Linked DNA regions of Rattus norvegicus. The protein of the gene in region 1 interacts with the protein of each later gene in a pairwise test. Links are inferred from orthologs where the notes say so. Each region holds a gene or a part of one and is shown in the gene's direction. Other genes may lie near its edges.

Evidence for each region.
Region 2: the proteins of Tk1 (region 1) and Unc119 interact in a two-hybrid assay, tested with the Homo sapiens proteins (2 studies listed by BioGRID and IntAct). The link is inferred for Rattus norvegicus from reciprocal best matches to the Homo sapiens genes TK1 and UNC119.
Region 3: the proteins of Tk1 (region 1) and Gdf9 interact in a two-hybrid assay, tested with the Homo sapiens proteins (2 studies listed by BioGRID and IntAct). The link is inferred for Rattus norvegicus from reciprocal best matches to the Homo sapiens genes TK1 and GDF9.
Region 4: the proteins of Tk1 (region 1) and Tle1 interact in a two-hybrid assay, tested with the Homo sapiens proteins (2 studies listed by BioGRID and IntAct). The link is inferred for Rattus norvegicus from reciprocal best matches to the Homo sapiens genes TK1 and TLE1.
Region 5: the proteins of Tk1 (region 1) and Crmp1 interact in a two-hybrid assay, tested with the Homo sapiens proteins (2 studies listed by BioGRID and IntAct). The link is inferred for Rattus norvegicus from reciprocal best matches to the Homo sapiens genes TK1 and CRMP1.
Region 6: the proteins of Tk1 (region 1) and Aplp1 interact in a two-hybrid assay, tested with the Homo sapiens proteins (2 studies listed by BioGRID and IntAct). The link is inferred for Rattus norvegicus from reciprocal best matches to the Homo sapiens genes TK1 and APLP1.
Region 7: the proteins of Tk1 (region 1) and Lrif1 interact in a two-hybrid assay, tested with the Homo sapiens proteins (2 studies listed by BioGRID and IntAct). The link is inferred for Rattus norvegicus from reciprocal best matches to the Homo sapiens genes TK1 and LRIF1.

The regions. Positions count from the first base shown.
Region 1 is NC_086028.1:103,534,778-103,538,277, reverse strand, and holds part of Tk1 (thymidine kinase, cytosolic), read left to right. Parts: intron 1-2,578; coding exon 2,579-2,668; intron 2,669-2,943; coding exon 2,944-3,063; intron 3,064-3,141; coding exon 3,142-3,327; 3' UTR 3,328-3,500. UniProt on the Homo sapiens protein: Cell-cycle-regulated enzyme of importance in nucleotide metabolism. Catalyzes the first enzymatic step in the salvage pathway converting thymidine into thymidine monophosphate.
Region 2 is NC_086028.1:63,738,999-63,741,898, forward strand, and holds the end of Unc119 (protein unc-119 homolog A), read left to right. Parts: intron 1-502; coding exon 503-616; intron 617-1,079; coding exon 1,080-1,182; intron 1,183-1,357; coding exon 1,358-1,530; intron 1,531-1,791; coding exon 1,792-1,904; 3' UTR 1,905-2,400; downstream 2,401-2,900. UniProt on the Homo sapiens protein: Involved in synaptic functions in photoreceptor cells, the signal transduction in immune cells as a Src family kinase activator, endosome recycling, the uptake of bacteria and endocytosis, protein trafficking in sensory neurons and as lipid-binding chaperone with specificity for a diverse subset of myristoylated proteins.
Region 3 is NC_086028.1:38,096,521-38,100,020, forward strand, and holds part of Gdf9 (growth/differentiation factor 9), read left to right. Parts: intron 1-30; coding exon of another isoform or gene 31-294; coding exon 295-427; intron 428-2,988; coding exon 2,989-3,500. UniProt on the Homo sapiens protein: Required for ovarian folliculogenesis. Promotes primordial follicle development. Stimulates granulosa cell proliferation. Promotes cell transition from G0/G1 to S and G2/M phases, through an increase of CCND1 and CCNE1 expression, and RB1 phosphorylation.
Region 4 is NC_086023.1:90,978,129-90,982,365, reverse strand, and holds the start of Tle1 (transducin-like enhancer protein 1), read left to right. Parts: upstream 1-1,437; 5' UTR 1,438-1,547; coding exon 1,548-1,571; intron 1,572-2,209; coding exon 2,210-2,310; intron 2,311-3,628; exon of another isoform or gene 3,629-3,634; coding exon 3,635-3,698; intron 3,699-3,797; coding exon 3,798-3,842; intron 3,843-4,237. UniProt on the Homo sapiens protein: Transcriptional corepressor that binds to a number of transcription factors. Inhibits NF-kappa-B-regulated gene expression. Inhibits the transcriptional activation mediated by FOXA2, and by CTNNB1 and TCF family members in Wnt signaling.
Region 5 is NC_086032.1:77,778,117-77,782,378, reverse strand, and holds the start of Crmp1 (dihydropyrimidinase-related protein 1), read left to right. Parts: upstream 1-1,462; 5' UTR 1,463-1,556; coding exon 1,557-1,937; intron 1,938-4,262.
Region 6 is NC_086019.1:94,831,811-94,835,962, reverse strand, and holds the start of Aplp1 (amyloid beta precursor like protein 1 isoform 1 precursor), read left to right. Parts: upstream 1-1,352; 5' UTR 1,353-1,419; coding exon 1,420-1,566; intron 1,567-2,426; coding exon 2,427-2,570; intron 2,571-3,462; coding exon 3,463-3,595; intron 3,596-3,769; coding exon 3,770-3,882; intron 3,883-4,058; coding exon 4,059-4,152. UniProt on the Homo sapiens protein: May play a role in postsynaptic function. The C-terminal gamma-secretase processed fragment, ALID1, activates transcription activation through APBB1 (Fe65) binding. Couples to JIP signal transduction through C-terminal binding.
Region 7 is NC_086020.1:196,994,222-196,998,492, forward strand, and holds the start of Lrif1 (ligand-dependent nuclear receptor-interacting factor 1), read left to right. Parts: upstream 1-1,471; 5' UTR 1,472-1,629; coding exon 1,630-1,691; intron 1,692-4,271. UniProt on the Homo sapiens protein: Together with SMCHD1, involved in chromosome X inactivation in females by promoting the compaction of heterochromatin.

The DNA.
Region 1 (3,500 bases):
TGCTTACTCTGTGCTCTCCTGGTATTCCCAGAGGCCCAGCCGCACTCCCTAGGCACTACCTTCTTTTCTTTTCTTTCTTTCTTTCTTTCTTTCTTTTTTTTTTTTTAAAGATTTGTTTATTTATTCACTATAGCTGTCTTCATGCACACCAGAAGAGGGCATCAGATCCCGTTACAGATGGTTGTAAGCCACCACGTGGTTGCTGGGAATTGAACTCAGGACCTCTGGAAGGGCAGTCAGTGCTTTTAGCCGCTGAGCCATCTCTCCAGCCCACTACCTTCTTTTCTTAGCTCTTCCTGCTTGATAGACTCATACCCAGGTCTGGCACCAGCCTACCAGTCGCCCCAACCCTCTTCCCCATCCTAACCTATAGGAGAGATTTATTTCTATGCGCCCCACCCCCACCCCACCTTATGATTAAGGAAAACGAGTTCATTTAGTGGCTACTTGGAGTTTTGGGGTGGGGTCTTGCTTTGTGGTCCAGGCTAGATTAGAACTCGGGCCCCTGAGTGCTGGTATTGTGTAGTCATGGGCCCTCGCACAGGCTACAGTGAGTATTCAGTGTGCACTGTATAAACAACACAATTCTTGTGTGCTTCCGCCCCAGACTCTAGACCCTGTTCCTTACTAAGTTCAGGATCTCCTCGTGGTAACACAAGGAGATTGCCCTTCCTTCCTGTGTCCTCAGACAGTGGGTAGAGGGTCCTGTAGGGTCCCTGGAGCCAGAGCTGAGGACATAGAGCTTCCCGTGTGTTCATTCACCAGAAGCAGGGCCCACAGCTTCTGGGCAAGATTAGAAGCTTGCATCGTTAAGAACTTTGTTTCCCTTCTTTTTGACGCAGTAATGACAGGCTCAATGTAGGGCACAGCAGGAGCACACCAGACAAAGGAGGCTTGCCACTTAAGTGTCTTTGAACCAGAAACTACCAGGAATGCCCTGCGAGCCAATATTGTGGGTTCTAAAGCCTGCCACGGGGCAAACACTAGTCGTGGAACAGTGGCCCTCCGGGAGGGGACCGAGCTCCTTTTGGCGGAAGGGTGGTGCTTGTTTGATTGCTTCTGGCATAGACTGCACCTGCTTTGTCAGTGGTCACGTGAGACTGAGGAAGGGTCTTTATTCATGCGGCCAGGGTGCCTGCCTTGCCTGGTGTTGACCCAAGAGATTATGTTCAGCCAGTGCCAGGACTCTGATGAATGCCAGTCCAGCCTGGACGCTTCTAATTATACACGTGTGTTTTTATAGAGCAAGCCATGTCACATGCTGTGACTATTGTGGGAATGGCTGAGTCCAGGGACCAATCGCATCCATTCCAAGTTTCTGCCCTTTGGCTGCGGCATTCTAGGTCTGGAGATAAATCTGGAGCTTCCACCTCACCTCCGTTGAAAGACTAAAACTGGGAGGGACCGTGGAAGAAGAGAAAGGTTAGAACGTTAAGGTGTAGGGCAGAGATATGTTCAAGAAAAGGTCCAAGAACCAGGCAGGCAGGAGATTGCTTTGCAACCCAGGCCAGCCTGGGTTGCACAGCAGTAACCAATCAAAAGTGAGAGACAGAAGGGATGGGGAGACAGTTCTGTCAGTGAGGGAGGCCCTGGCTCTGCAGGCATGAGTGCCTGAGTTTGGGTCCCTAGCACCCGTGTACAACACTGGGTATAGCCACATGTCCATAATCCCAGTGTGAGGAAGGCAGAGACAGGCAGGCCCCTGGAGCTCCCTGACTAGGCAGCCCAGCCCAGTAGCTGTGCTCCAGATTCAGGAAGAGACCCAGCTCAAACGAAATGGAAGCGCCAGGCTCATAGCATAGGCCTTTAATCTTAGAACTTCAGGGGCAGAGGCAAGTAGATCTCCTGAGTTCAAGGCTAACCTGGTCTACACCCGTGCTGTGAAGGGGGAGGCTGGCCTGAGAGACAGTGGAAGGCGGAGGGCAGCTATCCCTGCCAACCTACTTACGTACGCCTTGTACATCTCATTACCAAGAGTCCCCCTCCTCCTTCCCTCCCTTCCTCCCTCCAGCTGTCCATGGGGGCTAAAAGTGCATGTGTGCATGTGAGGGTGGGTGCCTGCAGATGCCAAAAGAGGACATTAGCTGTCCTTGCATCTGGAGTTACAGATGGTTTGTAAGCTATCTGTTGTGGGTGCTGGGAATTGAATTCTAGTTATCTATAAGAACAAGCCATGCTTGTAACCCCTGAACCATCTCTCCAGCCCTGGTTTATTTTAACTTCCTAATCCTTCTACCTTTAAAGTAGTGGTATTGTGTTGGACACCTTGTCTGGCTCATTTGATGTGGGGGTAGGGGATGGGGGTGGAGCCAAGGGCTTCATGCACACTGTTTAAGCTGTTCAACCCCAGGGGGGTCTCGACCCACTAGTTGAGAACTGCTGTTCCAGCCTCTCTGGTATGTAGAGGCCTCTGTGGGCCAGCCCTGGGTAGCAGTGGGCATGCAGGTGGGATGTTTCACAGGAGTGGCAGTGCGGTCTGATCTCCGGCTCTGGGCTTACCTGTGTGCTCGGATCCCTCACCGTCTTCATGAGGCCCTTGCTCAGGACGGCTCACTTCATCCTCTCTGAACTTTCCTAGTTCCCTGACATTGTGGATTTCTGTGAAACGATGGCCAATACAGGCAAGACAGTGATTGTGGCGGCGCTGGACGGAACCTTCCAGAGGAAGGTAAAGATGTCTGACCCATGGCAGCGGTCTTGAGAGGGGAGACAGCATGCAAGGTCTCCCCATGCAGCTCTCTAGTGAAGCAGGACCAGTAAAGTATGATGTTGCTGAATCATGGGGTTTAAAAGAGAAGCGTTGGGCTGGGGGCAGCCCAGGCTGTAACACACTTGCCTTGCACACAGGCTTGCGTCAGTTCCGCAGAACTCCCTCCACACGCATACACGTGAACACAGGCAGGGAGGGAAGTGCCTGGCTAACACTTTTGCTGTCCTGTGTAGGCTTTCGGCAGCATCTTGAACCTGGTGCCCTTGGCCGAGAGTGTGGTGAAGCTCACCGCTGTGTGCATGGAGTGCTTTCGAGAAGCTTCCTACACCAAGAGGCTGGGCCTGGAGAAAGAGGTATCTCCTTGTGCTTCTGCCCACGGAGTGGGGTGGGCTTAGGCTTCTGAGTCCTCCCTCATACGCCTCTCCTACCAGGTGGAGGTGATTGGCGGAGCGGACAAGTACCACTCTGTTTGCCGCCTGTGCTACTTTAAGAAGTCTTCAGCCCAGACTGCAGACAACAAAGAGAACTACTCAGTGCTGGGGCAGCCTATAGAGATCCCGGCTGTCAGGAAGCTCTTTGCCCCTCAGCAAATCCTACAGTGTAACTCTGCCAACTGAGGGGACCCGGGGCCTGCCAGCTCCTTCCCCAGGTTGGACTCCCAGAGAGCAGGGAAAGGGGCGGGGCCTGCCATTCCTACTGGACATTGCACCTTGGCTTATCTGCTTGTTGAAACCTTTCTTAGTTCCCTTCTTATAATGGTTGTGAGCCCCCAACCCAACGCTTCTCTCTT
Region 2 (2,900 bases), about 40 Mb from region 1:
CAGTGGGGGAGGGGCGGGGCGGGGCAGCAGGGAAGGGTACCAGCCTGCCCCGATACAGCCCATGCAAGGGAAAGTTCCCCTCAAATCAGCCTTGCCTGACACCTAGATGTCACGCCCCAGGGTTGTGTGTGGTGAGGGTGGGGCGCACGCCCAGGAAGAACTGTAACTCTCCTCCCCCGAGAGCTGCATGCTCCCTTTGGAGTGAAGTCCCCCTCATGCTGGAAGCTTCCACTAGGCAGGAGGTCCAGTTGTCCGAAGGATGCATGCCAACCTTGCAAAGCCGAGGTTGAAATAAGGATTGCCAAGAGGGTGGGAGGGTCGGTATGGTGGAGGTGACTTGCCTTGCCTCTGAGGCCACTAGGATCGTCCCTGTTCATCCTTGACTATAACAAAATTCTGTCCCCTGCACTGTGGGGGCTTCTCCAAGACAGGGGCCCACCAAAACTGAATCCACAGTGGGTGTTTTGGGGTCCCTGTTTGCTCAGCTGCCTGTCTCCCATAGACTACCTGTGCTCCCCTGAGGAAAATATCTACAAGATTGACTTCGTCAGGTTCAAGATCCGGGACATGGACTCAGGGACTGTTCTTTTTGAAATCAAGAAGCCCCCTGTTTCCGGTGAGTGGGATTGGAGCACCATTGAGAGGAAAAGGTGGGCAAGCACAGTGGAGCGGGCTGTCTAGGTTCTTTGAGCCACAGAGCACAGTCCAGACTTGAACTTCAGCACACTCAGGTGTCTGTGGGCAGACAGGCCTCTTCTTTTTTCTGCCACTGTTTCTCAGGGTGGACATATTGGGAGCATTGCCCTGTTTAAGTACTGGTCAGCCTGTCCTCTGCTGGCCTCCCTAGGAACTGCAGCCCCTAAGTCCTCCCATAATCCTATGCACACCCTATGGCTCTGGGAACCCCTGAACACTGGTGACTTGTTGATCTAGAACCCTGTAGGTACCACTCTTCAACAAAAGTGTACCAGAATCTCCTGAAGAGTTTAGAAACGTTTGAACAGAGGTCCTTGGGGGAGGGTGGAGTAGGCAAAGGCCCCAGCCTGAAGCCCACTGAGCCCAGCTGGGGTACATTACAGAACGGTTGCCCATCAACCGGCGGGACCTGGACCCCAATGCAGGGCGCTTTGTTCGATACCAGTTCACACCTGCCTTCCTCCGCCTAAGGCAGGTGGGAGCCACGTGAGTCACTGGGCTGGGGTGAGGGCTGGGGGGCGAGTGTGAGGGTGGGAACAGCCCCCTTCCAGAGCCTCTCGGTGGCAGTCTGCCTGGAGCCTTGGAGCCTGGAGTCCCTTGGCTGGCTGGCTGGATGGTTGGTGTGGAAGCTACTCAGCTTTGCCCGCTTCTCTTAACTCAGGGTGGAGTTCACAGTGGGAGACAAGCCGGTCAACAACTTCCGCATGATTGAGAGGCACTACTTTCGAAACCAGCTCCTCAAAAGCTTCGACTTCCACTTTGGCTTCTGCATTCCCAGCAGCAAGAACACCTGTGAGCACATCTATGACTTCCCGCCTCTCTCCGAGGAGCTAAGTGAGTGGAGATGTGGAGAACCCAGGCTCAGTGTCGGGAGGTGGGGGGTGGTACCTGTGCATCTGGTCCCCGTGCACCTACCCTGCATCACTTTCTTACCTGGCGCCACTCCTGTGTCACCAGGAGGGAAACAGGCTCAAAGAGGCTGAGGAACTCTCTGAAGTGGTTCATCTGTCCCTGCCTCCCTCTCTCCCAGTTCTAAAGTCCCAAAGGGTCTGGCTCAGGGTCCTGACCTTTGCCCTGGGTGGACCTCTCTTGCAGTCAGTGAGATGATTCGTCATCCGTATGAGACACAGTCTGACAGCTTCTACTTCGTGGATGATCGGCTGGTGATGCACAACAAGGCAGACTATTCCTACAGCGGGACCCCCTGACCTCCAACACTGCCCCTGAGGCTCTGGCCTGGACCCTGTGCTGTGACCTCTCCAACACTGTCTCTATTTGGGGATGGTTCCAGTGGCTCTGGACCCTGAGTCAGTCTTGAGAGGAAGGTTCCCCAGCATCCCTAGGCAAGCCTCTGAAGCTTGTGGGAGGGACAGCTCGGGAGACTGTCCCCATGTTCAGGAAGGCCTCCTGCAAGAGGAGGACTTCCGGATGCCTCACTAGGTCCACTGGGCCTGAGTTTCAGAGTAGTGTTCCCTTCTTGACTGTGACTAGATCAGGTTAGGGATCCGTTCCCTGTCCCTTGCCCACCACCTCCAGGGTGTTTATAGTTCACAGACAAAGATCCACATTGGGTACCCTGGTCTCAGTCCTGGCCTCCTCCATCAGGGGCCAAGAAACTGCCCGAGGTGTGAGCGGGGTGGGTCCAGATTGCAACCTGTAGGACCTGGACAAACTGTATATAGTTTTCAATAAACCTTTTCTGTTCTTGGGTGTGGCCAGCCTGTGTGTCTATAGGGAAAGGCAGGGGTGGAGTGGAGTAGGAGGGGTTCGTGTTCGTTGCTTTTTATCATGACAAAAGTACACGAGAAAATCAACTTAGAAGAGGTAAGATTTACTTTCAGTTCAGAGGTTTCAGTCCATGGCTGCCACATGGCCCTGTCACTGGGGACCCTCTGGTGAGGGAGAGCGACATGGTAGGGGAAAAGTGGGCTGGGGCAGAACTGCTCACCTGGGAGCAGAAGCAGAGAGAGAGAGACAGACAGAGTGAGAGAGCACAATATACCAAGAATAAGGTCAGAACAGGATACCCCTTGCAAACATTCGGTCCATCTCCCCCATCTAGGCCCTTACGATCACTCGATATCGCCACTAGCTGGGGACCTAAGCCTTTGAGGGGAGTGTTTATATCCAACCACACTGATCAAGAGAATAAGAACCCTCACTTCCCAGTGCCTTCTGGCCAGGGGGTCTTCCCTGGCCTCAGA
Region 3 (3,500 bases), about 65 Mb from region 1:
AGATGCGTTCCTTCTTAGTTCTCCCAAGCCATGGCATTTCCCAGCAGATTCCTGTTGGGGGTTTGCTGCTTTGCCTGGCTGTGTCTTCTTATTAGCCTTAGCTCTCAGGCTTCCACGGGAGAATCCCAGGCTGGAGCCAGTGAAAATTTGGAGTCTGAGGCAGACCCCTGGTCCTTGCTGTTGCCTGTAGATGGGACTGACAGGTCTGGCCTCTTGCCCCCCCTCTTCAAGGTTCTCTCTGATAGGCGAGGTGAGACCCCTAAGCTGCAGCCTGACTCCAGAGCTCTCTACTACATGAAAAAGCTCTATAAGACGTATGCTACCAAAGAGGGGGTTCCTAAACCCAGCAGAAGTCACCTCTACAATACCGTCCGGCTCTTCAGCCCCTGTGCCCAGCAGGAGCAGGCTCCCAGCAACCAGATGACAGGTGGGTCGGAGGAGATTGTTCAACTGGGCTGGGGGACAAGACGGGCTTTACTGCTGCTATAACTATAAGGAGCCACACCTTGATTTGGGTTTGGTGGTTTGTTTTGAGGCAAGATCTTCCCCTGTTACCCAGCTCCTCCTGCCTCAGCTCCCTGAATACTGGAATCGCACAGGTTTTCACTGTTGCTTGAATTTTATTTTACATGATTCTCAGTATCCGACTGAAACAAACCTTTTAAGTTAGCACTTTTTAAAAAGCTTTAAAAAATTTTTTTTTGGTGTGGTTGTACTAAGGATTAAATTGGTGGTGGTAATGGGGCTCACATATGTTAGCTAAACCTTCTGCTACGACATCCCTGGCCAATAGCATTGGTTACACTGTTTGTTTCCTAAACCATCTTTAGTTAAGAAACTAATATGGTAGATCTGTCTTGTTCGAGTTTCCTTTAAAGTTTTATTGTCTTAGACAGTCTCAAACTTGCAGTGACTCTCCTGCTTCAGCCACTCTAGTGCTGTGGGATTACAGGCACACGGCAGCACAGCAGCTCAGTGTGTGAAGGTTAAAAGAGACTAATGCGGGGCTGGGGATTTAGCTCAGTGGTAGAGCGCTTGCCTAGGAAGCGCAAGGTCCTGGGTTCGATCCCCAGCTCCGGGGAAAAAAAAAAAAAAAAGAGAGACTAATGTCTTGAAAGGCCAAAGAAAGTTCTGGAGGTAGCTAGTATCTTTCATTCTACCAAGCTGTTGGCTGATGGTGCCCTAAAACTTGCCTTTGTGGTGGGTGATATGGGACATTTCCCCTTGTTTCCCTGGAAGAGGAAAGTTTCAGTCTCCTCTGCACAGTGCATCTTCTTTAAAAAAAAAAAACATCGGCTGGCTGAGATGTGGTACCATTTATGTCCTAGATACTAGGTGCCTAGAGTTTGACCTCCAGAACCAACAAGACAAAACTCACCTGGGGTGCGGTGACTCATGACTTTAATTCTAGCCCTCAGGAGACAGGAACAGGCTAATCTCTTTGAGTTCAGGGCCAGCTGGGTCTACAGAGTGAGTTCCAGGATAGCTAGGGCTACACAGACCTCTCTCAATAAGCAAGCAAGCAAAATCCCAAACCTCCAAGCATTAGTCAGCAACGGGGGACCTGTTTAGTAAGAAGAAGAGTTGTGCTTTTAAAAACCAAAACCAGCAAACACCCGGGGCTTTGGAGGTAACTCAGTGGATGAAGGCTTCTTCAGCAAGCCTGACAAGAACCAGCTCCTACAAGCTGTCTTTCAACCTCCATATGTGCTCCACACTCCCCATGCCCCAATACAGACACACACACACACTGGCCACCAGTTCATGAAAACCATAACTGTCCAGGGCAGTTGTGGCTGTTGAAAGCTGCCCTCCCCACCCTTGCCCGTTTCACTGTAGCAGCCTCATACCCTCCATTTGTTTCCAATCTCGACAGTCAAATGTTTCCAACCTCGACAGTCAAATGTTTCCAAGTGACTTGTTTCATTCGGGTCTAGACTGCCTCGATAGTGTTGCTTTCCTGGTCTCCTGCCTGTGTGTGTAGGAATGACTCCACAGGGAGATACTCTGCTCCACTGTCTGTGTTTGGGTCTGAAACCGGAGGGTGTAATGATTGTCTTTGGTTTCACAAACCTGTTCTCACCTTTTTCTGAGATGAAAATTGTTTGCATGTGTGAGTTAGGGATGAGGATCATGAGTAGAAAGGCCAGAGAAAAGTTTTTTTTGTTTTTTTGTTTTTTTTTTTTTGGTTCTTTTTTTCGGAGCTGGGGACCGAACCCAGGGCCTTGCGCTTCCTAGGCAAGTGCACTACCACTGAGCTAAATCCCCAACCCCTGAGAAAAGTTTTCAGAAGTTGGTTCTCTTCTTTTACCATGTAGGTCCAAACTCAAGTCCTCAAGCTTAGTGGCAATTGTCCTTCCCCACTGAGCTCCACCCACCAGCCCACATTCTCGAATAGCCTGGCTGGTCTTGAACTCAGTCCATAGCCAAAGGGGCCATTGACCTTCTGGTCTTCTTGCCTCTATTTTCCAAGACCTGACTCACCCTGTGTGGATTTGGGAGGAGATTTTTGAAAGGTGTGTGTATGGGGATGGGGGATATGTCTCATGTAACCAACTCAGACTGCCCTCAAACTCACTGTATAGCCAAAGATGGCATTTACCTCCCAAGTACTGGCTTTGTGGGTGTGGGTTACCAGACCCAGGTGTGTGTGTGCGTGAGTGTGATGAAGGACTCTCATTATGTAGCCGAGGCTGGTGGCAATCCTTCTGTCAGCCTCCAAAGTGACAGTGTTACAAAAACAGACCTCTGTCCACCCGAAAGCATGGCTCCAGGCCCTTGTGCCTACCAGGCAAATGCTCTGCCACTGACTTATACCCCAGACCCTCCACAGTTTCCCTATCAGCTCCCTTCTTCCCTTTGTTTCTGAGGCTTAGGGGAGGGAAGGGAAGGGAAACTGCCTATGGTCAAGTACTAATTCCTCAGTCTCACTTCCTGCTTTCTCCAGTTCGTTTGCAAACATTACTTACTGGTGGCTTCTCTTCTCAGGACCCCTGCCAATGGTGGACCTGCTATTTAACCTGGACCGGGTGACTGCCATGGAACACTTACTCAAATCGGTCTTGCTATACACTCTGAACAACTCCGCTGCTTCCTCCTCCACTGTGACCTGTGTGTGTGACCTTGTGGTAAAGGAGCCCATGTCTTCCAGCAAGGCTACCCCAAGAGCGCCATACTCATTTACCCTGAGGAAACACAGGTGGATTGAGATGGATGTGACCTCCCTCCTTCAGCCCCTGGTGGCCTCAAGCGAGAGGAGCATTCACCTATCTGTCAATTTTACATGCACAAGAGACCAGGCCCCAGAGAATGGAACGTTTAATATGCCTCTCTCAGTGCCGCCCTCGCTCATCTTGTATCTCAATGACACGAGTACCCAGGCCTACCATTCCTGGCAGTCCCTTCAGTCCACCCAGAGGCATTCACAGCATCCCGGCCAGGGCAGTGTGACTACCCGTCCTGTGGAAGAGGAGGCTACTGAGGTAGAAAGATCTCCTCGG
Region 4 (4,237 bases), on another chromosome or scaffold:
CGTGGAACAGCAGCTCGCGGAAAAATAAGCCTCCGATAAAGTTGTGAATGGAATCTCACCTTCGGAGTAGCACAAAAGGAACCAATACCGGAAAACCGCATTCTGTTCTTGTTAGCAAGACGCATCCCTCCCCCAACAAGAAACCCCGCAGTTAGTCTCTGGTACTTTCACTGAGATTTTCTTCAAGGAAAAGCAGAGCGAGCCGCAGGCTTCTGCAAACTTCAGCCCCCTGCTTTTTCTTGCCTGCCGCGCGCAGGTCGCTCGGCTCGCGCGCACTGGCGCGCTCCCTAACTCGCCCCACGTTACTTTGATTGACAGCCCGGCCCGCCGCTCTCCTTCCCACCGACCTTCGGAAGCGGCTTGCCAATCTCGGCGTCTAGCCGCTCCCCATTGGCTGGCGTGGGTGCCCCGCAGCTCCTCGGGCGCCGCGGCACTCAGAGCGCACAGGACGCGCTGGCGGAGGAGGGGCACCGGCGGGTGGGCGGGGAAACAAGGCACAGAGGCCGCGCGAGGTGGGCGGAGCGAAGGCCAACACAGGCTGTGGCCGGCATGCGTCAGTAACCCACGTTGGAGCGGCGCACGTGGTTGGCCGAGCGGCTGCGGCTCCGCCCACGTCCGTGGCCGCCTGGGTGCTTGCAGCCCCCGCCACACTGCTCGGGCGGGGTGCTGGTTTGCTAGCGAGTGTGAAACCGCGTGTTAATGTAAGCGGCGCAAGAGGCGCGGGCGGCGGCAGGAGCAGCGGCGGGGACCCCGCGTCCCGGGGCAGGAGCCGGGACTCGCCTTCGACGTGGCCCTCTGTGGAGGGAGGCAGAGCGGCAGCGTGCTCTCCGTCGCGCGGACGTTTGCCTCCGGGTCGTGAGAGAACTTTGCGCCGGCTGGAGCTGGTCAGCCCTTTGCTTAGAGCCGAGGAGGGGAAGGCAGGCTCTAGGAGTGTTAGAGCCGGGTAAAGCGCCCGGCGGCCTGATGCCCGGGGCAGGGGCGCGGCGGGCGGCCAAAGAGCTGCACCGCGAGCAGTAGCCGTGGACTGGAGGAAGAGCGCATACTGGCGTGACCCTGCCTGGACCCTGCTTGGGCTCCGCAGCTTCAAGCCGCGCCGGAGACTCTGCAACGCCGGTCGACGAGCCGGGGGTAACCCGGAGCACACCGTCGTGGGAGCGGGTGACCTCCCGACCCGAGAAGCGGCGCTCGCCTCTGGCTGTCTACGTGGGTTTTAGCCAAGGCGCCACCTGCACAGCCGCCGACGCAGGGAGGAGACACACAGCCCCCCTGCATCCGTGAGCCACCGAAGGGAGCGCACCCCGGGCACCGGGTGGAGGGCCGCGGTAGGTCCGGGCGCCCCCGCTGCTCAGACTCCCAGGCGCGGGGCCGAGCCGCCCGCAATGTGGCCCTGAGGGCGGGGGCCGCACCCGTCGCGCCCTGGCCTTGCATCCCGAGCGCCCCGTGCGCCGGCCTGCTGCGCTGCTTCGCGTTCCTCGGTGGAATTCAAGTTGGAAGTGGCGCGGAGGATAGAGCTATCCCGGAACAGAGCCGCGGCTGCTGCCAGAGCGATGTTCCCTCAGAGCCGGCACCCAGTGAGTCGTCGGCGCGGGTGGGACCTTGCCCCGCGCGGGAGCCCAGGAAGCCCCATTTTCCCTTGCCCGCCCCCCCTCCTACTGGATGTCTAGACGGGCAGACGGGCGGACGGGCGTCGCGTAGTCACTGCCCGCTTATCCCGAGGCAGGAGTGATCCCTGCTTTGCCCTCGTCTTGCCTGTTTACTTGTAGTCAGTGCGGCCCGGTCACTCCGGGACTAGGGGCCGAGAGGGAGTTGGCATTTCATCTCCAGATCCTGGGTCTTTCTCGCACCGGTTGGGGAGGGGCAGCCGGGACAGTGGAGCTCTGACTTGGTCCTTCTCAGCCTCCTCCGGGCCGGGTGACCCCAGAGCACTGGGCACACACTGTCCACACTGGAGGCAGACTTATTTCTGAACCTCCTGAGAAATCAGGGTCCCAGGAAGATCTGCTTTCTCCCTCACTAAAGTGAACCGAGGGCTCGAGTTTGGGCCTCCGTTTTCCACCACCTCTAACTTTATTTATTTATTTATTTATTTATTTATTTATTTATTTATTTTTTGTTTATGTCCCATCTGCTTCTCCCTCTTCTGACTTTTCTGCTTTATGCCCTCATCCTCATATCTCCTCCCTTGGTTACCCTTGCTGGTCACCTGCAGACGCCGCACCAGGCTGCAGGCCAGCCCTTTAAGTTCACTATCCCGGAGTCCCTGGACCGGATTAAAGAGGAATTCCAGTTCCTGCAGGCGCAGTATCACAGGTGCGTGTCGACCTGCTCGGGTGGTGGTCACTTGGGGGGTCTCTTCTCACACAGGCCAGGCTGCTAGGGCTGTTGTACTTAGGGCTTGTGTCCAGGCGGTGGCGTGTGGAGTCACAGTTAAGTCCTGTCATTCACATTACCCCCCTTTCGTCGCTCTTCCTGGGCCGTCCCTTCTGTTGTCTCCTCCTCCTCCCATTGTTTCCCCTTTGCGCATTTGTGGCAGTTCCAGGGAGTCCCTTTTCGTGTATTTTGGAGTTGCATGAGAACCGTCAATATTTGCGCTTCGTTTATTTGTTTTGCAACAGGCTGAACTGAAACATGGGTTCAATCAATGGCTCAGTCCTAGAATGTGCGTTCAGGAAAGCAAAGCCGTGTTGCAATCGCTGTTTGCCATACTAGAAAATTGGGTTGCCTGAGACAAAGTCCATTAGGGAAGGCTAGATGGGTTTAGCTGTGCCCATCAAGGGTGATTAGGTGGTAAGATGTAGTTATGCGTGGCCCACACTCTGGGGTGTTTGGATAGACTAGGGAACTAGAATCACATTCACCTCTGTTCTGGGTTCTTTATGTAATCATACCTTCTTCTTTGGATTGGTTAGTGGAAATTATAGCTAAAAGCCCCATCTGTAGTGAATAGTCCAGAAAAGCTACTTATTTTTCTACTATGAGGTTTTGACTAATTGGCGCAAAGCAGTTTCTTCGAAGATTTTTACTTTTATCATGCTTGAGAAAAAGGACCAAGGAGAAGCTTGGTGGCTTGGGTGTGAATTTTCTAAAGTTAGTCAGGGACTCTGATTTTTGACCTTTTATCTACTTTTATACCGTATCTCCAGAACTTGAGGCATACTTGCACACACTGTTTACTGAACAGGGACAGAAGAACTTCAACCCACTTCGTTTGCTGTAGCTGCTTGTCATGTCTTGGCAGGGATTCAAAAGGTTTTGAAAGGCACTAGTCACTGAGAGGAGTAACTTTACTTACCAGTAAAGTTTTCAGACCTGAAGACTGTCTTTGCTGGAGAATGGGGGTTGTGCAAAGGACAGACTTTGGTGCGGTCAAGAGAGGGGAGGACAGCTGAGAGATCTGTGTTTCCGTTCTTGGCCTCTCTACGGGACGTGTGCCCCACGAACAAAAAAGGACAGTAGTTGGTGGATATTCCCCGTTGTTCACCTTTTCCAGCATGGAATACAAAGACAGCTTTTAGGAAGTATGCCCAGCTTACAACTTTTCTAAATTGTTTTTGCTTGAAGTGCAAATATGGGAGGCAGATGTTAAAACAAGTGACATAATGTTTACCTTAAGCTGCCTGTTTTGTTTTCATAGTCTTAAATTGGAGTGTGAGAAATTGGCAAGTGAAAAGACAGAAATGCAGAGACACTACGTGATGGTAGGTATCAAAGCGAGGAGGACCTTTTCTCTTTCTGTAATGGTGTGTGTCCTTCCCACAACCGTGAGTTAACGGCATGCCTGGTTCTTCTCTTTACAGTATTATGAAATGTCATATGGATTAAACATTGAAATGCATAAACAGGTAAGCTATAGCTAAATCTTAAGCTTCGAAATCAGTTTGTAGGCTTTCACTGTACCGGCTTTGTCCTCGGTAACCACATGTTAAGGGGTGGGTGTTTGTGGGCTGTTTGTCTGCCCCCTGTGAGTTGGTGGTTAGCACTCTGCAGTAAGGATTGTTTCTTCACAGTTACAAGACAAGCTAGGTGAGATGCTTTGGAAATGCTTATGGGTAGACAGGAACTGAGCTCAGTTTGCTTTTCCACATGGATGGATTCCTCCTTTAAAGGTCTCGGATATATTGTGGTCACTGGAGTTTAGAACAGTTCATATTTTCATGTTTGCTTATAAAATGTGGAAAGTGAAGGGTACTTGGGTGTTTCTTTAATTGGATTTAATAAAGCATCTGACTTTAGAGTG
Region 5 (4,262 bases), on another chromosome or scaffold:
ACTGTCTGGGGTTCTCCAAGGTTGGCTGCAGAGCTCTCTGACCCTTTGGTGGAGGTGCTGAAAGGACAGCTCCTAGCCCGGGGAAGCCAACTGAAGGACAGATGCTGGATCAGGCTTCCTACTGTTCCCCAGCAATCCTGATTGCCAGTTTGGACTTGTCTGCCTAGGGGGCTGGCAGCTTGTGAGCCTCCCATCCAGAAAGCACAGCTGAGATTCCTGGGTCCCCAGGGAATCTCATGACCCTCTGCTAGAAAGTCATAAATAAGTGAAGGGGCTGGGACTGACCCCAAGTCTCCATCCTTCTTCCTGGTTAAAGGAGCCCCCCCCCCCGAATCTCCAGATGTTAAGCTCCAGCACAGTTAGAGTTGACTGTATTCAGGATGTGGGAATTGCCCATAGCTGCCTTTGTCTGGGTGCTGCCTGCTGCATGTGTCCATTCCTGAATATCTGTCTCCAAAGGGTTTCTGTTTAAGGGTTCTTCCTACTTCCCTTTTATTTGGTGGGATGTGCAGGGGTTGCCAATCAGCAATTTACAGGCCTGTGTGTGGAGGAGCCTTGTGAAGTTCCTTTTGGTAGCAGTGTGGGAATTCTTCACCCTGAGATGTTGTTGGGACGGGTGTGTGGGTCATCGGTTCAGTTACAAGCATCTGGGAGTGTAATGCTAACATGGCCTCCTTGCTATGGGATAGGGACCTCTGCTCCTGAGTTCTGCAGGCTTCATTCTTGTATCATATCACTTAGAAAGTTAGCGTTTAAAAAAAACCAAACAAACAGGGATTTTATTCTACTCTTAGTCCAGTCCCCAGCACTATCCTAGTGCCAGATCCTATTAGGCAATCAGTGTAGTAGCATCAAGTGAGCCAATGGGGAGTTGGATGTGTCTGTCTCTGACTGTGCATCTAAGTTCATTTAATTTTTGTACGACTTTGATGATGCGTGGGGTTGCCTGACAGAATCTCTGGTGTACGCGGGCTCGTGTGTGAGCGTGAGCTTGTGTGTGTGTGTGTGTGTGTGTGTGTGTGTGTGTGTGATCTATGGAGTGCCTGCTGTCTGGAGGGAGCGCGGAGGTACCTGATTTGGAGATGTACCATGTACAGACAGGCTGATGTCTGTGCAACTATCCCTTGCGAGGTGAAGCTTCACCGTGTGTACACGCGTGCGTGCATATGTGTGTATGTGTGGTGTGCACTGGCGCACGGCCCCCACCCCGTCTCTGCCCGCGCCCTGCGCTCCTTCTGGAGGCGGAGAGCCGGGTGCGTGGAGGGCACTGCGGCTCGGCTGCCCGCCCTCCGCGCTGCGGCTACCGCACGTCACCATTCTCCCCGCCCCGGCCGCCGTCCCCGCCTCCGTGGTCCTTTGTAGCTGGCAGTGGCGCTGGCCTTGGTCACCGTAGGCTCCGCCCCGCCCCGCCCCGGCCCCGCCCCTTGCGGGCCACGCCCCGGCCCTTCCTCCCTCCCTCTTTGCCCGACCGCAGTCGCGCTTGGGCCGCCGCGGGCCCGCACCGAGGCGCTCAGCGCGGAGCCAGCGGTAGCGAGAGCTGACCGCCGGAGACGGGGATGGCGGAGCGGCGGCGAGCATGGAACACGGAGGACGACCTGCCGGTGTACCTGGCGCGGCCAGGCAGCGCGGCGCAGACCCCGCGCCAGAAGTACGGCGGCATGTTCGCCGCCGTGGAGGGAGCCTACGAGAACAAGACCATCGACTTCGACGCCTACAGCGTGGGCCGCCGCGGCTCCGCGCGCACACCACGCAGCGCTGGCCGGCCCGACGCCGTGGGCCTGCCGTGCCCTGGCGGCAGTGAGGACACGGCCAGCGATGTGAGCGAGCCCTCGGGCTCTGCTGTCAGCTCGCCAGGCGATCGCGATGACAGACCGCCGGCGTTGCGCATCCGATGTCCTGCGCCCCGCGACCTACCACTCGGCCGGGACAATGGCCAGGTACCCTAGGGGCACGTGGGCCAGACGTGGGGGGGCGGGGCCCTTGGAGACCCAGTGCTTGGGTGGCGCGAGGGCGCGTGTGGGGACCCGCTGCCACCAGGTTCTGGGGGACTGCAACGGCCCCTCCCCCACTTCATCCTGCAAGAGGTTCAGAGAGGTTTAGGATAGGCCAGGGTTGGCCAGCAGAGCCTCAGAAGGCCAAAGCCAGGTTCTGAGAAGGGAAGTAAGTTGCGGCAGCTGCCGCTGCCGCTAAGGGACCTGTAAAATGAATTTAAGCCTCGTTCTCTTTCCGGGGTTCTGTGAATAGGGGGGGCATTCTCTGTCTTCCTCCATCTATCTATTCGCTCACTCACTGATTGTGGAACGCTTAGGCTGTAACCCGCTCAGAGAGAGGTTCACGGAATGACTCTGTTCATATAGATGCTCCCGCCCCTCCCTGCGGGACGATGTGGTTAAGGATTTAGAAGGTGGGCAGTAAGAAATCGCTCAGGACACTCCTCTCCTGGATGTATACGCTGGAGGCGAATCTGGGATTTGAACCCAGGCATATGGACTCCCTGACTTCTGAAAGTGAAGAGGGACATCAGGGAAAGACATGGCCAGGGTTTGGGCCTTATAGGTTATCGTCCCTAAGTTGGAATTTACCAGGGAACACGGGTGGTCAGACAGAAGAGTCCTGAACAGGGTGGGTAAGGTCAGAGCCACGTGTCTGGGAAACAGAAGTTGGAACAGCTCTGGGAGCTGTCCCTTGAGTTCTGGACTGGGCTGGCTAGGCAGCCTAACCCCACCCTCCAGAAGTTCCCTGGCTGGGGAGAGCTGTGGACTCATTTCAAGAATTAAGTTCAATCAGGTAGAGAGTGATCAATAAATGCTTGCTATGGAGTTTTATCATCATTCTCGGTTTAATTAATTAATTAATTCGTCCTTTCCATTAACACCATGAGAGGCACAAAGTGAACTCAGAGGGAGGAAGAGTTTGAACAGGACTGTAATCTGGACAGGCGTTTTGGAGGAGAAGAAAATGGGCGGTGTTCTCCAGCTCTGTCCTCCGCTCTGGAACTCTCCGTGGTCCTGAATCTGCCGCCTGGGCGCTGGAGGCGGGGGCGAGGAGCAGGGAACTAGCCAGAGTCCAGTTCCCTATCCCTTTATCTCCTCCTTGGTAGTACGACCTCGCGTGGGAAACAGGCTCTCTAGCTCCACCAAAGGCTTCAGGGCCCAGAAACCCAGCCACTACCTGGAACCTGTCGAGATGTTTCACCTTCTTTAAGCTGTCTTCATCTGTGACCCGGGAGTGGCAGTCTGCTCTCGGCTTCCCTCAAAGGGAATACCACGGAGGCGATTGCTCTTTGTGACTGGCCTGGAGCTGTCCTTCTGGCTTCGCGGCACTGGTCAGGGTCATTCACACAAGCTTTGTCCCCAGCTCTGCTATGGCTGGCCCGGTAGCTGTGCCTTAGTGTTTCTGGACCCTAGTTGCTTCAGCTGCTCCTGTGTTCTTACCACCCGGTTCCCCTCTGTCCTTTCTCCCCGACTTCTTAGGGACCTGACAAAAGGCTGCGTTCGAGGCCTCCCAAAGCACTCTCTGGTGGGGACTTAGAGTAGAAGAGATCACGGCCCCGCTGGATGGAGTAATTTACTTTCTGAAGACCACAGGGCATGGGTTGCAGAGGGCTAGGGATCTAGGACCAGCCTTAACCACTCCTGCAAAGGGTGCCCGGGCCCCTCCCCCGCCCATAAGGCTTTTTCCTGGGAGGGGGGTGGGGTTTCAACAGCGCAGGCGCAACATTTGCGGTTGCCAGAGGCTGGTGGCTGTAAAGCTTTGTACCGGAGAAGTCTGCTTGGGAGCAGCAATCTGTTTGGCCAGTAGCGAGCAGGACTCTTCCTTCTGACTTGCACGTGGCTCAGCCCCTCTCTCTAGCTTGCCTGCCCAGAACCCCCCGACTGACCCCAGGGAATGCCGGGGTACTGGAACCTTTGACTTATTGCCGAGGAAGGGAATCCGGAGACAGAAGTGTGCTGCTATCATCCGCAGCTTCCGGTCATTAATGAGAATTTAGGGGCCAGAGCACAGGCGGGACTTAATGAGTAGAGAACCCGCTTCCTGACGCTGCCCCGCGGCAGTTAATTTACGCTATTTTATCTCTGCAAATGCGCGGTACTTTATCTCTACAAGCTTCAGTGTCCTGTCTGTAAAAGGGGAAAGTCACAGACTAGTGTTTCTGAATATAAACTATTCTCTCGGAGCTTATAATCCCTCTTGGTCTCCTGCGGTGGACTAGGAACTGGCTTTCTCCATGTGGTGGAAGACGAAAGGCCCCAGCGGGGTCC
Region 6 (4,152 bases), on another chromosome or scaffold:
TGAAACTGGAGTTATTGTCAGTGTGGGTATTGAACCTGAGTCTGCTGAGAGAGCAGCCAGTGCTTTTACCCACGGAGCTTTCTCCTAGTGGTTAGCCGGGAACTCTTGGTCTCGCTGCCTCAGGTCCTCTGGGATTACAGGTGCACATCAGCATTCCACTTTAGGCTCTTTTAATAACATGTCTCCATCTCACCCCAATCACACCCACAGAGATGCACACACGCAAACAGAAAGACGGCAAATGCGGGCAGGTTCCCACAAGACCGTCAGCTCGAAGGCCATATAGATGCACACACACACACACACACACACACACACACACACACACACACACGGGCGCGCGCGCGCGCGCACGCAGCTAGGCTGCCTCAGTTGGCCCGGAAAATAGAATATTTTACACACACTTAAGACAAAACAGTGGGGGCTGGGGATTTAGCTCAGTGGTAGAGCGCTTACCTAGGAAGCGTAAGGCCCTGGGTTCGGTCCCCAGCTCCAAAAAAAAAAAAAAAAAAGACAAAACAGTGACCCCCTTTAGGCAGAAGACTTAAGGTGGTCCTCAGAGTGGGCGAGAACGGGGACTCCACACAGTGGTCCTTAGGTGCTGGGTTTTCGAAGGTTATACTATCCAGCCCCTGGCCTGAGTCATCTTTAAAGAAAGGGTTCTAGGGCTTTGGTCATGGATTTTTGGAGGGAGTATTTAAAGGTCCAGACACCTAGCAAACAGGACAGGAAGGCTGAATTCCTAGGTCTGAGGAAGCAAGGGTGGGAGACAGCCTCTGGTGCTGAGACTGAAGAGGCCTGGAAGGGAGTCGGCCTTACTTAACTACAATGTTTCTTCTTTTGAGACCTGGTTGCCTGTAGGCAGGCTAGCCTCAAACTCCTATCCTCAGGTCCTCTCCTCTCAAATGCCCGGATTACAGGTATTCCTGTCACACTCCCTATGTTCTTGACTGGGGAAATTATGGAGGCCTGTATTCCTGGGGCCTCAAGAGAGGAATTTATGGAGGACCTCTGCCCCCATGGGTTCTGGCGTCCTTGAAGGACAAAGCTGATGATGGTGTCTGAGTTTGCCAGAAGAGAAGGCTAAGGGTGAAAGTCCAAAAAACGGCTACGCCCAGGACTGAGCCTAGTGACTCGGCCTTCACGAGGACAGTGACACCTGGAATCTGGAGGGGCTGGGACTTGGCGCAGGCTCCCTCCCGGGGTTCCCGAGCTTCTCAGTGCGCAGAGCCGCCACGCTATTGTCCTGGCTGGGAAGGCGGGGCCGGCGCGGGGCGGGGCTGGCGGCGCCGGCGCAGCCCGGGGGCGGCGGGAGGAGGAGGAGGCGGCGGCGGCGGTGGCGCTGGGAGCTCCTGTCACCGCTGGGGCCGGGCAGGGCCGGGCGGGAGCGCAGGGGACCTGAGGGCCCGAGGCCCGGACATGGGGCCCTCCAGCCCCACCACTCGCGGTCAGGGTCGCCGCCGGGGCCCGCCGCCGCTGCCGCTGTTGCTACCACTGTCGCTGCTGCTTCTGCGCGCGCAGCTCGCCGTCGGGAACCTGGCTGGTGGGAGCCCCAGCGCGGCCGAGGTGAGGCCCGGCCGGGTCCTGGGGATGGGGAAGGGGCGGGACCGGGCCTCTGGACCTGGACGCGGGACGGCCACCGCAGTCCTTTTGGCCAGGTGGCCTGCCCCACGCGATCCGAACTGTAGATATTCCTAGGTTCCTCCATCGTCTGACGTCCCTGCCCCCTCCCACCCGCATCGTCGGACCTGGCTCTTTCCAAGAGCCCCGGGTCATAGAAATCCAGAGCACCCCTAGACGACAAAGCCCCAAGCCCTGCCCACCTAAGCGTAGGACCCACCAGGCAGCAGGCACTTGGATCTAAAAACCCAGATCCCTTGTATCCTCTGTATCCACATGAACCCCCTGCCCTCAAACATCCAGGACTCCAGGTCTCCACCCACTACTCAATCCGGATATAGCTCCCCTAGTCCTAAAGGTCTGATGTGCAGGCCTGCTAGGAAGCTGGGCCCTGTCATCTTTACACCCCCTCAGTGGGAACCTGAACTGGGGATGGAGGGAGGAGGGGCCAGAACGCCTGGGTTCGCCCTCCGCCCCCAACACGATTCAAGTTTAACCCCTTCAGGCTCCAGACCCAAGCCGCTGGGGCGGGGGCGGAGCCTGTCTTCTCAGCCACAAGGCCGCGAGAAACGGGGGCGGGGGGGGGAAATCCTGGTCACCATAGCAACGGGAGAGCTGGGGCGCTTCAGCCCCATGGGATCTGTTTCCCGGGGAACAATCTCTTTACCCAGGAGGTGCTTAGAAGGATCTGGTTCTAGAGACGATAGGGGCACGAGTCCTAACTGGATTTTAGGGAGCAAAGGACCAGACAACCCAGATGACAACGTTCCCTGGCCCCTCACTGCCCCATCTGCCTCCATTCCCAGGCTCCGGGGTCGGCTCAAGTGGCTGGACTATGTGGGCGTCTCACCCTTCACCGAGACCTGCGCACCGGCCGCTGGGAACCAGACCCACAGCGATCACGACGCTGTCTTCTGGACCCGCAGCGCGTGCTGGAGTACTGCAGACAGGTGGGCGGGACCCCGTGGGGAGAGGCGTGGTCAGTGGGAAAGTGGGTTCAAGCTGGGGCGGGGTCGCCCTTCAGGAAGCTGGATTTGGCGAAAGACAGAGCCTAGGGAGATGAGAGGATCTGGAAAGCCAGGGAAAGCTTGGGGTCTGTGGCCAGCGAAGAGGCTAGGAGGGGCTAGCGCAGAACCTATTTTGAGAAATTAGGGGCGCCGGGGGTGGGGGGGAGGAGACTGCAAAAAAACCGTCGACTAATCAAGATTTGCCTGAAGAGTGGCAGGGTTTAGGAATCTGTGGAGCCATTTAGAAAAAGTGGGAGTGTAAGTGGGCGTGGCCGAAAGAGAGGCAGGGCTTAGATCAAAAGATCTTTAAACCAACAAGATTCAGTAGGTTTTGGAGCCGGGTGAGAGTGGCTGCCTGCCTAAGAGAGGTGAAATGAAAAGGCGGGGCTAATACAAAGAGAACAGTTACTTAGAAGCTAGTCAGAGAAAGGCAGGGTAGGAAAGAGACCGAGATACATTGAGAAAGAAACCTGATTGCAGAGCAAGGTCGCCCTGAAACGTGAGCTCAGAGAAGTTGAGCTTGGCATGAACAGGCGTGCGGGGGGAGGGGCCGGGGGGGACCTTTAGAAGGATCACAAATTAAAGACCCATATAAGCCACAGAACGAGTTCAAGACCAGTTTAGGAAACATTAAGGAGACTCATAATAAAGGAGTCTCATAATAAAAAGTAAAAAGAGGGCTGGGCATATAGTTTGGTGGTAGAGCACTTGCTTTGGCGTGTACAAGCCCCTGGGTTCAATCTCCAGTACTGCAAAAGAAGAGATGGAGAAGGCGGAGGTTAGCCAGTAGGTTGACCGCGCCCCTCGCCCCCCGCCCCCACACTGTGTCCTACAGATGTACCCAGAGCTGCACATAGCTCGTGTGGAGCAGGCTGCACAGGCCATCCCGATGGAGCGCTGGTGTGGGGGTACCCGAAGTGGCAGATGTGCCCACCCCCACCATGAGGTTGTGCCCTTCCATTGCCTGCGTGAGTCACCCGTTGGGGGAGTGGGGTGGGAACTGAGGTGAAGTGGGAGTCTCCTAGAGATGACTCCGGTCTACATTAGAAGTCTGGGCGATGGGTTGAGAAAGCTATGAAATGCCTGGACTCTGAGGAGGGCAGGGCTGGGCTACTAGGATTCTGGTGTCTCCCATTCCCCAGCTGGCGAATTCGTGAGTGAAGCCCTGCTGGTGCCCGAAGGCTGTAGGTTCTTGCACCAGGAGCGAATGGACCAATGTGAGAGTTCAACCAGGAGGCACCAGGAGGCTCAAGAGGTTAGGACTTTGTCCCACCTGTTTCCTAGCCCTAGGACCTTCCTTCCAGAACCCAAGCATTCAAACCGGGATGTAGGGATTCCATGCCTCAGCCACTTAAGAACCCAGCTTCCAGGCTTTCTGTCCATACCTTCCAACCATGTCATTCTGGTCCCCCGGGCCTCCTCTTCCTGCAGGCCTGCAGCTCCCAGGGCCTCATCCTGCACGGTTCTGGTATGCTTTTGCCCTGTGGCTCTGATCGGTTCCGAGGTGTGGAGTATGTATGCTGTC
Region 7 (4,271 bases), on another chromosome or scaffold:
TTAAACAGGGTCTCATTGTATAACCCTGGCTAACCTAGAACTCACTATGGAGACTAGGCTGGCCTCTTATTCAGAGACCCACCTATCTCTTCCTGAGTTCTGAAATAAAAGGCACCCATCACAACATGTGGCAAAAGGCATTTGTTTTTCTCTAGTTTAGTTTTGTTTAGTTTTTTTTTTTCCTAGTAACTTTGGTTTCATAGACAAAAGATGCCAGGAAGCTTGAAAGCATTAAGGTCTGCCTATCTTCCCTGATGCCTTTAGTATGGGAGGGTCGGGGTGAAAGGGTACTTTATTGAAAAATAAATTCAGAAATAGGAACATGTCACTTTCTCTTAACATATCAAGACCCGAAGTTCTTAAAAAATCTTTTCTGTTCAGCAGTTAGGGGAATGAGGAAACCTTTTCTAATTCCTTTATTGTGAGACAAGTTTCATGTAGTACTACTTGTTGTGTAACCAAAGGTGACCTTAAAGTTCCCATCCTCCTGCTTGTATTTTCCAAGTGCTAAGATTACATTTGTGTGTCACTAAGACTGGTAAGTAATTCCATTTTTAAATAACCATGTAAACCTTCAAATTGTCTACCTTATCAGTGGCCTGGATTTAAACAGTGGAGCATACAAGAATATTTCATAATATTCCACACCTAATTAAACTACAATTCCTTCTACCCATTAAACAGTATGATCCCAATTCTCAAATAGTCACTTTGGAATAACTGCAGGAATCTAGAGAATTCAGAGCTGGTCTCTGGAAATTTAAAAAAGAGTTTCAAAACGTTTATACAGGGGATTTAATGCTCAGAGACTCAAGAAATTGAATACATGACAATAAGATACAATTTAACTGAGGTATGAGTGTGGGAATGGAGAAAATGGTTAATCGTTAAGGTAGAGGCAAAACTAAAGGAACTAAAAAGCAAAAGACTAAGAGTTCTAGCCAGGAAATGGATATAAAGGTTCTCAACAATTTATGGCAACTACTAAATGCCTGCCCATGTCTACTGAATCAAACTGCTAAGGAAGACATTATTACATTGGCTTGCAAAAGCATTTCTACAAGTGCAGACAATTAAAGCCTGACACCGGAAATATTTCATTTCGTGTAGGCAGTGAAAGAAGTTTCTCTTTTGATTCCTCCTTTGATCCGGAAGAAGACACATCAACCTTCGTTGTCAATTGGACTACGTCATAAGGGCGGGGCCACAGCGATCCATTCGCCTCGGTCCCGGTTTGTGACGCAGTACCTAAGTGCATAGGCTTGCTGGCTCTAGGGGCTCATTTTAGTGGGCGCGGTCTCTGACCAGGCCCTGTTCAGGGCGGGTCCATCGATGCCACGCCCCCACGTCCGCTCTGACTGGCTGTGATCGGTCACGTAGCCAGAGACTTGGCCGGAAAACAGTGAGCTTTCCTGAGGTGGGAGGGTATGGTCGCGGTCTTGCGTCTTCCGGCTTCTACAGCCACTTCCCACGGAAGCCGGGGGAGCCACCCTCTTGTCTATCTTCGGCCATACACTTGTGTTCGCTCCCGTCAGTGCCTGCGGCTCCACACTCGCGCTCTGATTCGCGCCTACTTGGGGACCCTGTCCCCACGCTACTCACTACCCTGTCCCCTCCCACCCATCTAAAATGTCTAATAGACTCCAGACCGTCTTTCTGAAAACCGCAGAAGAAAAGTCAGGCTCGCACTGGTAAGTACCAGTTCCCAGCCCTTCACGCGCCCGCCCACGCCCTGTGACTTAGGTTGTCAAGGCCGAGTCAGCTGTTGTCCAGCCGCGCAGCAGGACCTTGCGGCCGGGCCGTCGGATCTCAGCAGCCTCACAGCACAAATCCCACCCAACCCCGCGCGCTCCAAAGCCCCTGGCTCTCTGCCCTCCCCAAATGTAAAACAATCCTCGGTTACGACGCAGTTCGCTTCTTCTGGATTCAGGCGTGCCCGACGCCTTCCGCTCGAATTTCATAGGTGGACCAAGTAGACACCCACGGAAAAAACCAACATGGCGATGCTCCAAGATCTCAAACACGCCCATAAAACCTATGGTGGATTGTAATGCAGGTGCAGTCCCGGGGCGCTGGCCCTTCACCTGAAAATAGTCGCATTTTAATGTACTTGGAAAATGTGTTCTAGAACAAGGGACTTTAGTATTTGAAATTTTCAAATAAGGCAGAGAAAAGTAAAAACTTGAAATGTGAAGTCAGTTTTTCTAGGTAGCCCATTTGAAATGTGTCTAAAGGGAGTGCTTCTCCTTGGTTGTCTCTACGAAGAAACAGTTGAAACACTGTATGGCTCTGGCTGGGTAGGAAACTCATATATAGCCAAGGCTGTCCACAATCCAGCCTCAGTTTACCTAGTATTAGGCTTATGAAGGGCTGTGACAGTCTTCTTTGGTTAGAAAATGTTTCACCAGTAACATTTTTCTTTTAATTTTGTGTTAATCCAGATGAAATAAAAGCAAGAACCACAAAATATTCATTAAGGAACAATGTTTTAATTTATGCTTCCCAAAGTTAATGAGTATATTTGTTCAGAAGCAAAGATATGAAAACTAAGCAAAACTAATGAAAGGGAATTATGGTTGAAACAAGAAAATCTACCTGGTGTTTATTGCAACTTTGTTACTATACATGAGACTAATGCTTCATTTTTTGATAAAAAATAACGGTTCCTGGGACTATTTTAATAACAACCAGGAAAAGAAATAGTTTAAGAAAGGATTATTTAAATATTTGCTCCAAGTTTAAGAACGCGAATTTGTGTACTGATTTTAGCCCAGGTAAGTTTATTTTAGTTACAAATATATACAAACCATAATTGCAGTGAAAAAAAATGATTTTTTTTAAAAATACATTTTCCCTTAAAACCCTAGTCTAACAAAAACAAATGATCACCTGCATCAGCCTTCCAAGTAGCTGGATGTACAGGAAGTTGCTGCTGTGCGAGTACCAAAAAGAAAAAAAAAAAAAAAAAAAAAGAAAGAAAAGCAAACATCATTAACGGTAAATAGGGAGACAGCTCTTTGGTAGTATGTATTTTGTGAAGATTTAAAGATAGATTGAATCCTATCCAGAGAAGCGGAAGTAGAAGAAATGCTTTGTAGTAAATAATTTTGTATATTTATGATATATTATAGATGACATAACTTACAGATCGTATTCTATTCCAACCCTAGAAGTAACTAATGTATCACTTTAAGTGATACATTGAGGTTTTTTATTGTGCCCTTGGGTTCTCTTTTAAACACTTTCTAACAATTTTGACTAATTTAGAACTTTGAAAAATATTTTAAATTGAGCTATGTTTTGGGTACTTTCATAAGTAATTTGAACGTTATTGATTCATTAGTTTATGTTTGGTGACTTGTTATACTTTCATGCTTTTATTTTTTAAATTTTCTGGTATTATCATAACAAATTTGGAGCATTTAACACAAGATAGTTTCCTAGGATATTTGACACTTTGATTACTGCTTACATGTTTGATTATTCTTTGTTTTAATAACACCATGCCTACTGTTGAAATGTAATTATGTAAATAATTTATTTAATATCACTGTTTTGTTTTATTGGAAGTTTTTTTGTTTTCTATTTTAATCACTCATTTATTTTCTTTCTAAAAATGATAGGACTTCTTTTCTGTAAATATTTCAGCTTTCCTTGAATTCTTTTCTTTTTTTCAATTTTTTCTCCCCTCCCCCCCTCCTTGAATTCTTTTAAAGAAAAATCAGTATTGTGATAAAGAACGTTTATTATTTAATTTATATGGTTTAATCAGGCATAAAAATAGGAAACTCCGTTTTATAAGAGCAGTGCAAATATCTGTATATTTGTAGTGTTGTTCATTTAATGTATTAAGATTTGCATTGAATTCTTATTTATTCAGTGTGTACCACAGGCAGCATAATAGCTATATTAAGGTTGCTTCAGTCCACTAACCATTTCATCTATTGGAGATTGATTGCTCAGAAAATTTTTGAATAGAATTGACAAGATTATGTGTATAGTTTGAATAACTAATGACAGTGCTGATTTAGAATGAGGATTGTATTTCAGATAACTTGAGAAGTCTGAGGGGCTGTACAAGATAGCAGAGAATAGGGATTAGATTTAATAGCAATGGGATGAAAACTATGCATGCCTGATTGGGAAATTACCATTTGTTGGGAAGATGTTATGCCAGTTTTCTTGTCAATATTTGTGAATTAAATGAGACAAACCCAAATGTCCAGTTAAAATTATTGCTCTCAGCATGTGGCTTCGTTCGGGTGGGAAGA